Drosophila melanogaster: one gene and its partner. The gene in region 2 interacts genetically with the main gene of each other region. Each region holds a gene or a part of one and is shown on either strand. Other genes may lie near its edges.

Evidence for each region.
Region 1: of Fer1HCH (region 2) and Zip99C, changing one suppresses a phenotype caused by changing the other (phenotypic suppression), as found in Drosophila melanogaster (one study listed by BioGRID).

What each region holds. Positions count from the first base shown.
Region 1 is NT_033777.3:29,862,975-29,870,688, forward strand, and holds Zip99C (Zinc/iron regulated transporter-related protein 99C), read right to left. Parts: upstream 5,922-7,714; 5' UTR 5,559-5,921; intron 5,098-5,558; exon of another isoform or gene 5,016-5,097; intron 4,844-5,015; exon of another isoform or gene 4,770-4,843; intron 4,241-4,769; exon of another isoform or gene 4,206-4,240; intron 3,561-4,205; exon of another isoform or gene 3,542-3,560; intron 3,207-3,541; exon of another isoform or gene 3,127-3,206; intron 2,539-3,126; exon of another isoform or gene 2,426-2,538; 5' UTR 2,294-2,425; coding exon 2,083-2,293; intron 2,023-2,082; coding exon 1,915-2,022; intron 1,853-1,914; coding exon 1,439-1,852; intron 1,377-1,438; coding exon 1,221-1,376; intron 1,163-1,220; coding exon 984-1,162; 3' UTR 727-983; downstream 1-726. Other genes in the region: RpS8 (ribosomal protein S8), read left to right, coding at 1-222, 441-544; CG34133 (uncharacterized protein), read left to right, coding at 6,734-6,819, 6,876-7,080. UniProt on the Drosophila melanogaster protein: Involved in zinc transport and homeostasis.
Region 2 is NT_033777.3:30,385,078-30,389,611, forward strand, and holds Fer1HCH (ferritin 1 heavy chain homologue), read right to left. Parts: upstream 2,543-4,534; 5' UTR 2,454-2,542; coding exon 2,387-2,453; intron 2,333-2,386; exon of another isoform or gene 2,035-2,332; coding exon 2,026-2,034; exon of another isoform or gene 1,807-2,025; intron 1,752-1,806; coding exon 1,641-1,751; intron 1,520-1,640; coding exon 1,242-1,519; coding exon of another isoform or gene 1,221-1,241; exon of another isoform or gene 1,180-1,220; coding exon 907-1,179; 3' UTR 725-906; downstream 1-724. Other genes in the region: Fer2LCH (ferritin 2 light chain homologue), read left to right, coding at 4,134-4,251, 4,339-4,365. UniProt on the Drosophila melanogaster protein: Stores iron in a soluble, non-toxic, readily available form. Important for iron homeostasis. Iron is taken up in the ferrous form and deposited as ferric hydroxides after oxidation.

The DNA of each region.
Region 1 (7,714 bases), 520 kb from region 2:
TCGTGGTCATCGATGCCACGCCCTTCCGCCAGTGGTACGAGGCTCACTACGTGCTGCCCCTGGGACGCAAGCGTAACCCCAAGCACGCCCAGAAAGAGGACGAGAACGACGTGCTGACCAAGAAGCGCAGCGAAAAGGTTATGAAGAAGTACCTGGAGCGCCAGAAGTACGGCAAGGTCGAGCAGGCCCTCGAGGATCAGTTCACCTCCGGCCGCATCTTGGGTGTGTATTCTTTCTAATTCATGATTAATGATTTTTGTTATAGTGATGTAAAAACCCTAGCGATCCAGCTACTTTATTGTGTTGATCTTGTTTTAAGAGAGACGCAAGCCTGTTGGGTGTGATTCTGCTTGTCATAGTTACTCTGATCAGACCACTAAACTTATACTTTTCCATTTACTGGAAGCCCCGCTCTAATTCCCTGTTATTTTTCCTTTCAGCTTGCATTTCTTCCCGCCCCGGACAGTGCGGTCGCTCCGACGGCTACATTTTGGAAGGCAAGGAGTTGGAATTCTACCTTAAGAAGATCAAGTCTAAGAAATAAAGGCACTAGATAAGCTTGCAAGACATGATTTGCAAACAAAAACGGAATAAAACAACTTGTTTTTTATAGGAAGTGCATTTTTCTGATTTTGTTCTTTAATTTTCCTGCTGACAAAGAAATGCAGCCCAAATAGTGGACGCTTTTGTTACCCAAATAAAGTCCAGATAAAAGATAAGAATGTTCGTGGATAGTGGAGGGCAAAGGACTCTCCCTTAAATGTCTATTGAATTTTCGTTTCATAAGTATGATACAGTAATACGTAATCATTAATAATAGTTTAAATATCATTCATATTGGCTATAATTACATAACGCAGACAGGATGTCGAATCCCATAAAGTACAACAAATTCATGTTAATTTAAAACTGCCAATGACAATCTTAGAACAAACTAAAAACTGCTTTCAATTTTCTTCTTATACTGCTGTCAGCTAAAGTTCCTAGTGTTCGAATAGCATGGTCATCACGGCCATTAACGCAATGCCAAATACCAGTGCTAGCAGCTGCTTAATGGACTCCTTGCGCTCCTCCTCCTTCAAGAGATCAGGTAATACTGTGACCAGAGCAATGTGCAGAAAGCCGCCGGCGGTGAACGGCATAATCCACGAAGTACGTGCCTCTGTAAATGTAAAGATAAGTTTGCTTGTTTGTCACACGGAGAGCCCATTTAAGCTTACCCATGGCCGACGTTACGCCGGAGCCTCCGATGGCCACCAGAGCACCGAGCAGGCCAGCTCCCGCCGTGAGTAGTTGCGCACGCGCGGCGTCCCAGCGACTGAATCCGGATCGAAGCAGGATTGCGAAATCCCCCACCTCGTGCGGAATTTCATGAACTGTATGTAGGGAAATAAGTGAGGAACTATCCTATGTTTCAATAGTATCTATAAGTACTTACGCAATATGGCAAAAGTGGCTAGAATGCCGTGTCTGAAGGACACCAAAAAGGATCCAGCCACGGCTAGACCGTGTGTGAAATTGTCAATTGAGTTGGCCAAGAGGTTCAGATAACCAGCCACCTTCTTCGGCTGTTCCTTCCTTTCCTTTGACTTCTGTTCCTGCTCGCGTAGGAAACAGACTTTACCTACATCTTCGATGTCGCAGGCGCCGCCACAACTCTCAGAGGTTTCGCCCTCTGGTAGTTGGCCGCCATGTCGACGCAACAGGCAGTTGGCTATCTCCACGCACTTGGGCTGAGGGTTCTCCTCGTCCGCGCTGGCATATCCGGAAAAGATTTTCTCCACGATCGTGAAGATCAGTATGCCGGAAAGTACCCAAAGGCCCGAGCGCAGGGATGGGTGACTAGAAGGATCTTTAGGAGGAAAACGAATATTATGGAGATGATTTCACAACTTGGATTTCCCCGCAACTCACCTTGATTATCGCCCTCCCAGGCTTCTGGCAACAGGTGAAGGAACACATCGCCCAGCAGACCGCCGACCGCGAAACTCAGAAGCACTCGCAGGAGTTTTGAATCTGCAGCTGTAGGGTGAGATGTGATTCAAGTTCAATTGATATACTTTTCGTACGCATGTGACTTACGATCTTTGTATCCCTCCTTAGCCATTTTCTCCTCCGTGGGAATGATGATCAGCGGGAATATGCCACTCAGTCCAATTACCACCGATCCCAGCAGGGAGAAAACCCATGGCGTGTACTCAAAGCTTTTGAAGTACTCGGGCATGTACTGGTCCATCAGGTTGGAGTATATCATGGCGATGTGTTCATCGAAGAAGCTGCTGTTCGTGGTCATTTTCGGCTGCCTTTTTACGGCTACTTATGCGCTGCTCTGTGCTGGAACTGGGTTGGGTTTCTTCAGTCACTGCTGCCTGCTCATGTCCAGTGACTTTCGGTGGAGTATGTGCCGTGATCGATGATGACTCGGCTAGTAAAGAAAATATAATTTAAATGGTTTAAGAAATGTCAGCACACACGTAAATTTTGATACAAATAGCCAGTTAAGCAAATGTTTCCCCAAATCCGCCACCTGGCAACAAAATCATTGAATAACTAGATGCGGTTCTTAGTATCAGACAGACGGTGATGCGAAAATCCTTTAGATATGGACAATGTCAGCCATAATCAATAAAGGGGCAGGGAAAAACTCTCTCAACTGCGCTCGTTGTCAGGTTCGATAAGCGAGTCTCTGTAAAATTTAATCATGGCAACTTAAGTGTGACTAGACGGCTTCATAGGGAACGGCAGTCAATCAAACTAAGACCATTGCCCGATAGCTACTCCATCAGGATGAGTAAGCGTGTCCTGCCTCACTATAACCAATAAAATATCAAATTGTTCGTTGTGGAACTTGTTACCCGTATCACAGCGAACCTGGTAGACTTTATCTAAAATGCAGGTACTTAAATGATAAATATATATTTGCCAATATGGCTTGTTCGAGTTCGAGCAATAATTAATTGGCTTTTTCCATAATTAATAAGCAATTTAGATGCAGTTAGTTAGTTTGAATGTGATTGCTTTCCAGGATTTTTTATTTTAGAATCTGCTGTACGATTAGTAGAAGAATTCTACTTGTAAATCAAACTTCTCTCGATCGTAAACTACTTTTATATCACTGCCACCAACCAAAACAGATTGTAAATTGGGCGAAAATTAATTTCCAAGCTCGATAACCGACGCTTCCAATGTGCAGAAACAGACTAAACGAATTTTCAGGAGACGCTGCTTCGGAACGCCCACGTCAAGATACTTTGTTTCCATTTGATTTCCGATTTGATGTGCACGATGCAGCTTAAACTGTTCACTTTGCCGCGATAAGATTACGATGGCGCTGGCACAATGGAGTGACATGATTTCGGCGGTTTTGCTAAGCGGCAATACTCCGCATGTGTATTGGGGAATCAAACTTGGAAGCGGACGAATGATGTCTAATCCCCGACAGAACGGGCAGAATGGGAATGCCTCGGAACTTCAGTAGCGAGATGCGAAATCAATCCGGTAAGCTATGGCTATACAATAACTATATACGTATATACTACACTCTTATCTTTCGCAGTGTCGTTGTCATTGAACTATCAGAAAGCAAATGAGCTAGATTAGATTTAGACATCGTGTAATTACTTGAGTTACCCAAAATATCTCTAAAGACTGAGACTAGGAGGCTGTATTAACTATCATTCAGTTCATCTGTTCCAATATTACAAATACTCTATGCGAACTATGACTGTTTCACGCTTTTATTGTTATTCTACTGTATTTGCCCTTTAAAGATTCGCAAAACAACAATAGCAAAGAGAGTCTTCTTGTTCAGATTCAGGTTTCTTTTAAATTAGTCGAAAATCGCTACTAGGAAGCCACTCAAGTTTGCTTTTACGGTTTGATCAGATGAGTAAATAATTCAATTTCGGCACAATAACTCGGGATTATCTGTTTAGCTGTTGCACTAATTGCTGTGTTTCTTGGGCGAGCCTTCACTGAAAAGACAGTTCAGATTAATTCCGGGAATCCTGTCAATTACACTCAGATAGTTAGTTAGTTATTCACGAATATGGCGAATCGCACAAGTACTTAATAAACATAATGTGGCACTATTTTGCTGGAAGACTAGAGGACAATAGATTCTTCTGCGATTTAAAGTTGATTTGTGGCGTGAGGTATTTGTATACTGCCAACTGTTAACACAATACCAGTAAACTATATCACACTTGAGCGTTGCTAATGCGGAAATTTATGCTCCAAGCTCCACAATTCGTGTGTTATCGCGTCGGTAACTGAGCTCGTTGTGGTGCAATTATCGTCTTCTTCGCCTTCTTATAGATGAATTGAAAAGAAAATATAAACAGGGGACTCCAAAGCTCGTGCTATAAATACAATTTGGCGTAAAGATGCAATTAAAAGAGTTGCTAGCTCGCCAATCACTTGTGAATCATTATTGTCGCCAGTAGGGCCGCAAACTTTTGAATGGATCATCAAAATGGCAGAGATTATTTTGCACGCTGCACTAAAACTGGGACATGGCGTAGTGAACATGCTTTGATTATCAATCAAAACGTGCGGGGCAAACAATCCGAATGAGAAACTTGGTCCCTTGGGTGATAAGGAGTGTGCCCGAGCAGATATAAAGAAAGTATAGATAAAGGGAATTCATCAACAAAGAATATTAAAGTGTATGGCATGGGAAAAAGGAAACTTGGTACATTCCCGAGTTTTAATCGAGCTTCAGCTTTGCTGCACTAGTCATAAATAGATTTGTCACCCTTGTAAATCACCTAGAACACCGAAGAAAGTTCTTTGTTCCGATCAGGGTACTATGTGCATATGTCTACACCCACAACCGAGCACTGAGTATCACATGGCTTTGAGTTTGATTAACCAGCATACGGAGAAGCAAACCCTTCGATTCTACATTATTAATAAACAAGATTGAAGCCGCGAAACCAGTTTGCCAAACAAGTTATCATTGTATTGTTGTTCAACAAAGTCTAGTCCATTTGTTTTTCTATATACATACATACATATATGTACCGCTGATAAAACGCAATACGCTCAATATGATTATAGTGTTCAGAGCACAGATTCGAGATTAGATTGAGTACTGTTCAAAATTACTCAAATATGGCCGCTATTAGTGACGTGCAGATGATAATCTTACACTAGGTTAGTTATGCGGCATATCAAGAGATCTATGCGGAAGTTGGAAGTTTGCTCAAAAGAAGTATCGTATCATGTACTTCTAAAAATTCAACACATTTTTCGAAAACGTCTCTGATGCTTTTATTTGAAACCGCACGATAAAACAATGGAATTATCTACAGAGAAACATATGTACTTTGTACATAACTGATAAGCAACACCAGCTGAGTCGATTTAAGCACTTATGTTTTCATCTTCTAGATCCTACATTCATGCATATAGTATATAGTTTTAATGGATTAGGATCTCTTTCACCACAAAGCGAAATGTCACATAATCATTAGGTGGCTGCCATTAAATACCAGACTTTGTCTTCGAGCCCGATTTCAGATAATCGGTTGGGATGGGTGTGCAGTTATTTTTACCGTTATTCAGCTGTAACAGGAACGGGTTAACGTGCTCTTATCACTTTTATAGCAGGGAATAAAACCCGAAACTTTCGATTTTTGCAGTGGCGAAATTGTATGATAAATTACTTTTCTATTGCGTAGTAGCGATCATTGGCACCCGATGCTTTTTTTACTGCGAAGTAATTGCGTGAATTTACGTTTATTTCGCCCGGGCTCTGCGTGGGTTAAACGTACGCCTGGCCTCGCCTAACTCGAAACACGGGCTTAATGTTGATGTCGTCGCTCCGCGCGTCGCTTCACTAACAGTTACAAGCTCGCCAAAAACACATGCATTTATACATTTGTTTACTTTGTTCGAGGGCCGTGCGGAAAATACAATAACAAAGCAATATGGTGCATTTCGATAGCGGTGGCAGTCCACAATCAAAAATGTCGGTTATCGATAACAGGTTGAATTTTATCTTAGCAGAGATCCCAACAATGGTGGGGGAGCTTGATATCAGCTGTGTGACTACCAGTGATCGATAATTAAATACCATAGTAAAATTAGGCACATATATGTAGAAATCCGACTTATGTAGAAAATATTTAAATGCCCCCTATTGCCTCAAATACGTTATTTTCAAAGCGAGATGTAGGAAATTAAAAATTTTGTATATATATATTTTCGATTTAATATTGGAATATAAACATAAAACATTAGGTTTTTGTATAAATTTAATACAGTGTATAAATTTAAAATACGCGCGGACTCTCGCCGCATTTTTGCGTGTCACGAGCAAGCACGACCAATAGCCCATCGCTAGTTCAATCGATTGCTTATTAATCATACTTGACGCAATCGAAATCATTATTGCATCTTTGACACCACTAGTATTTACGCGTATCAAGCGTAAAAACTCAATTAACAATTGATTAGGAACTAAATTAGCAGTATAATTATGTGTAATAAAACGCAGGCGATAGCAACATGTTAAATGCAGTGCATTCAGCGCTAGTGCGGCAGCGAGTGACGTCACACGAGTAGAAAGCAACAAAGCAACAACAACAAAAGACAGTGGGGCGCCGCAGCAACAAAAGGGAATCAATAACAAAAAACCATAGAGAAAATCGTAATTTGGTGGATAATTTGCATACGATTGGGTGGTTAGATAACGCCGACAACCCATCACAAACGCACAAATCACGAAATGAGTAAGCTGGAAACGGATTCGGACAGTTCAGAGGAGTTTTTCGATGCCGAGGACACTACGCCCAATCGCCATTCGACTTTGTGGTAGGTTCTTGTGGCTTACCCCGTAAAAATGTTTAATTAATCCCTGGCCATTTCAGTCGAAAGCTGCCGCCCGAGGTGGCCCAGGAGTTCATCTTTCCCGAGCCCGCCGTGAGAGTGAATGCCGCCGCCTCATCCGACAGCGATGCTACGCCCATTGGCGCTGGAACGCCCGCCACCCGGAGTCCCACTAATAGCCTGGGTGCCCGGCTAAAGCCGCAGGATGCAGGGGTCTTCGTTGAGCCCAAGCCCGTGATAGGACCTGTAAGTGAATGGGGTCCACATGGAGTGCTCTTACTTCCGTTTTGCTAGACCCAGTTATGATGTCATCTACTAGGGTAACGATCCATCATCAGTGGCCTTGGAACACCATTCCCACGTGTGAAAGCCCTCATTCAGCTCATATGTCTGGTGGTGTAATTTGTAGAAGGTTTACTACCATGTGAAGCTTAAATTTATGGCTAAATTTTTAAAGCGGTTAAAAACTGCGCTCTGTCCAATGTCTGTGATCATCATGTGCAGTTTTTTCATTTATTTTGTTCTATTTTAAACACTAGTGGATGAGATATATGTACAATATTAGGAACCATTCGTTTGGTAAAGCAAGTATATTTTTATGTTTAGGTCTTTATTATTGTTGTTCCTTATCTTTCCACATATAGATGGTCATATACCTACCATTTCGCGCCAACTTCCCATAGTTATTATCAATGCTCACAGCCATACATTTCTCAACCGCTCCCTTAGCGACATTTAAAAACTGTCACTGCCTTAGAAATTGATTAAAAACCGATATGATACGGTTTATGGAATTTACCTAGTCTTAATTAGCAAGAGAACATTTATTTCAAGGTGTAAAGATAATGGCAGGTTTTGAGGTACTGCATTTACCCCTATC
Region 2 (4,534 bases):
AAGTTTTGCTTTATTGTGATTTTACGAAATAACCTACAACTTCACCATTCCCAAAAACACAATTTCTTTTTCCTTAAACATTCCAGTTTTAAACACCTTTTTTACAGTTTTTTCGTTGTAAGTTGGCCAAAATATGTCACAAGGCTGAAAAACGCACTTTTTTAGTCAGCTGGGGTCCTCAGCTAAAGACCCATATCAATATTTGCTTTAATTTGGAAAAATAATTTTTCGGCCAAATTTCGCATTTTTTGTAAGGGGTAACATCATAAAAAATCGAAAAAATTTTCAAACCAAAAATTTCTCTAAATGAGTTACCCGTCGTTTAGGAATATTTTTACAAGTTCAACGAGGTATTCCACTCCACAATTGGACGTGTCTTTCCCAAGATATAGCACTTTTTCTGTGAAATCCCCATCGAAAATTATCAACAAGAATAAAATCACCCTCGTTTTCCATCTGAAAAAACTCCCTCAAAAACAAACGCATATACAGTTTATTTCGTTACATATATATTGTTATTTATTTAAGAACTTGCTCGTCTAATTGACAGAAAAATATAAAGATATAGGATGTATTGAATGGGTTGTGCTGAGTGTCTTACTATGCGAATGAGCGATTCCACTTAAGCCTAGGCGAAATCTCGGCGATTGCATAATGTGGAGCCCCCTCCCGAGGTGTACGGAAATCACAAGTGGTTGATAAGAAAGAACAGACGTGGAATTTTGCTGTGCTGGTTTGAGGATCGCAGTCGAACGGATAATTTATTGGCCAGTCGCCGACTTGGCTGGTGATGATTTAATAGCGGACCCTCGGGAAGGCTCTCTGGGCTGACAGATAACAGATAACTCGACTGGCTGATAATTTTGATGCGTGACTGGGCGCTGCGCCTTCTCTATCTCCACCTCCTTACAGGGTCTTGTCGAACAGGAACTCGCCCAGTTCGCCGTTGGTGTCCATCATCTTCTTGAGAGTGGTCAGCTTGCCGGCGAGCTCGCGCTGTCCGTGGAGCTGCTCCTCCAGATAGACACCGGTCAGGTAGTCCACCAGGTGGTAGTGGTTGTAGGGCTTGTTCTCGCAGGTCTGGATCAGCTTGCGGATGGACTTGGTCACCTTGATCTCCAGGTCGAGGGCGTCGGACAGGGCGGCGGCACCATCGGTCCACTCCTGCTTGGCCACAGTCTGTGGGGGATTCGCCAGGATTAGCTGGGCTTTTGGGTTTTCTAGGCGAGTCGTCGACTTACCGGCACATTGATCAGATCGCTGACTCCCTCGGTCAGTTGACCGCGCATGGACAGGTACTCCACCAGCTTGGATCCGTGCTCACGTTCCTCCTTGGCGGCCTTGAAGAAGTGCTCGGCGAATCCAGGGCGGTTGACGGTGTCGCGGGAGAAGTAGGCGCCCATGGCCAAGTACTGGTAGGAGGCGTTGATCTCCTCCTGGATCTGATTGCGCATGCCCTTTATGCAGGCATCCTTCATGTCCACCCAGTCCTTGGTAATCTCAGGAACAGCCAGGGAGCCTGCAATGGGATAAGGTTGGGTTAAGTCGGGGGACCACGATAACAATATATGGCTAGTATTCAGCTTTAAAAAATTTATTTTTGTAATCAGAACTTAGGTAAATTTTAATATTTTAAAAACCTTTGCACTCTTGGTCTTGACCTTCATGGCTTAGGTTTTGTTTTTCTTTTAGTTGATGCTCTTCTCGCTCCCTTTGAAGCTCTCTCACGAAACTCTTGCTTTCTTGCTTGGCTGAGGGGTAGGGCGTTGTTGGTTATTGCATTTAAGAGGGCGTAATTGCATAAACCTTTGAAATTGCGCTTGAAATGCCGCTATTCTAGGGCACAAAAACCGTGTGCAAAACTGTAATGGCCTACTCTCCCACTCTCTCTCTCTGTTTTTGTAACTGCATTGGTAACGTGCGCAGCTCTCGCCGCCATAGTAACGGCATTTGTTTTCGTGTAGTGCCGTGTGCAAAAAGCATGGTTCACCATGCTAGCTCACTCGGCCCGTAAAAGCCGTGTGCAAAGAGCGCCTTGAAATGTAACAACAAAAAGTCAAGCTTATTTATACCGCAATATTCATGGAAATGAAAGCGAAATTCGCATTATTTAATTATGAAAATTTATGTATAAAAACTGGTTATCATTTCCCCAAAGCGCAACGGAAGTATCAATAACTTTTAAATCAACTGGTTTGGTAACTTCACTTCATTGACGAAAGAGAGTGAAAGAGCGTCAAAGAGAAACGGCGCATGCTCTTTTCAACGCATTACAAATGTTTTGCTTCTCTTTGCGTATTGCGTCGAAATTTATTGTTTTTTTTCCGATGACCTGCCTTTGTTTTGTTTGAAATTCTGATGAATAAAACGTAACATTAGTACTTACACTTGAAATCTCCATAGGCCTGGGCCACCACGGCCAACAGGAGCAGGCTAGCAATTAGTTTCACCATCTTTGATCGTCGAACGTAGTCTTTACACAAAATCACAGAACAAAAATTTGTTTTTCACTTTAGTTTGATTTGCTTGAAATGCACAAATGAGAATGAGGCGACTCGAGTTGAGCTACAATGTTAAATAGGCGTTGAAATTGAAAATCTAGCTGCCTTTACACACACTGGCGCAGAAGGCGTCGCCTGCTTCAATTTGATGGGCTTGATTGGGATTATTTTCGACTTCTCGAATGCTTTCCAGTACCTTCTGCTGACAGCTTTAATCTGATTTTTCAGTGGAGCTAAGGCCTTTCTACGTTGTGTTTTAGCGAACTCGAAAGCGAACTGTCGCTCCGAACGGCGCACAAAACACTTTTAAGCGCGCGCGCTCTCGGTTTTTCTTCGTGTGTGTGTGAGTGATGGGAGAGTGTGCACTGTTATCTTTTCAACATGTCGCCCGTTCTTTGTTAACCGTTTAAATGGCTGATAATTGAATATTCCCGATAATTGCCGCACTCAATGTGATACACACGTCCTCAATATGGGTATACTTTGTATAAAGTCGGGTTTCCTAGTCAGATAATCCCCACTTACTAAGAAGTAAATTTATCAAATGCAATATGGCCGCTCTTTTGAGATGCGCATCAGCTGTTCTTTGTTTTTGTTTTGGCCGTGGGAGAGCACCACGTCATGTGTTGCCAGGCGGTTTAATTATTGCTGACAATTTAATTCACATTTTGTCAAGTTGATTTGCACGTTCGAAGGGGGGATCAGTCACCCACTTTGATAACTGCTAATATGGCGACGGCTCTTTTTTACGTGTCGCTTGCAGAGCTCCAAGAATGACACTTGATAAGAAGGATACATGGTGGGAAAACTTACAAATTACATAATTTGTTTGTTGATTGGGGAAACCCTACATTATCTCCGAACCCAGCAATAATATGTATTGTAAATAGCAACAGTCTCAAGCTCGATGCTGCTGTGAATTACCAATATATCAAAACTTAAAACATTATCTTAGGAGGTAGATGGTTTATCTGCAGTTTATTTTCAATTCTCATCGTTAGCTGATAAAACTCTCAGGAAACCACTTGAAATCCAAAGTGCAGCGTCCATATTTTGCACACGCTGACAACCCTGTCGTGAGTCACCTTCCAGCAGGCGCAGCAACAACAGCACTGGCAGCGGCCATATTTGAATGACACCGAAATCCCGCACTGAGCGCAAAACAACACATGCCCATGCACGCTCTCCAAAACCACACACACACAGCCATATCGATCGCATAGAAAGAGACGTACGCGACGCTATAAACAGCAGTTGATTTTCAGAGTTTCACCAAGAAGCACATAAAGCGATTGAATTATTAATAAAAGCACAGGCACTGGAAGTGAGTTTTAATATTACTAACTAACTACTTTGTGAGTGTTTAGTTACGAAAACTAGAAAATAATATTCTGGAAACTGTGTTTTTAAACCGACCACCATATAAATTTAAAAACCAAAACATTCCATTGGTGGTGGTTTTGTTGTTAAAAAAGAGCACAGAAAATTCAAGAAAACGCTACGACGCAAAACGAAAAAACTCGCCCAAAATGAAAACAAAAGTGTCTGTTTTCCAATTGTCAATTGTTGTGAAACTAATTTCCTTTGTTTTCGCCTCTCGAATTTGATTTTAATTTACAGTAAACCGTCGACATGAAATTTTTCGTTGCACTCGCTCTCTTTGCGTGCCTCGGCTCTCTTGCCTTGGCCAAGGATGATGAATATTGCCAGAACACTGTAATCACCGCATGCTCTACGTCAGCCTTTTCGGGTGAGTAAAGAGAGCGCCTCTAAGAGAGAGTGGCTAATCTGTGTTGTTGCTTTTTGTATCTTTGTAAAACATAATAATAAAAACAAGCGCTCACGGGCTTTTTCACAGGCAAGAGTAAGTGAAATATAGATTGGATGTATTTCTGCACTATCTCAGATTTCGTGAAAATGAACACTTTCCAATTCTTACTGCATTACGGCCCTTACATTATTATTTTAAAGATACAAATACAAATTCAAAATTCTATTGCCTTGTTTAGTATGGCACTACCTAGTTAGGAACC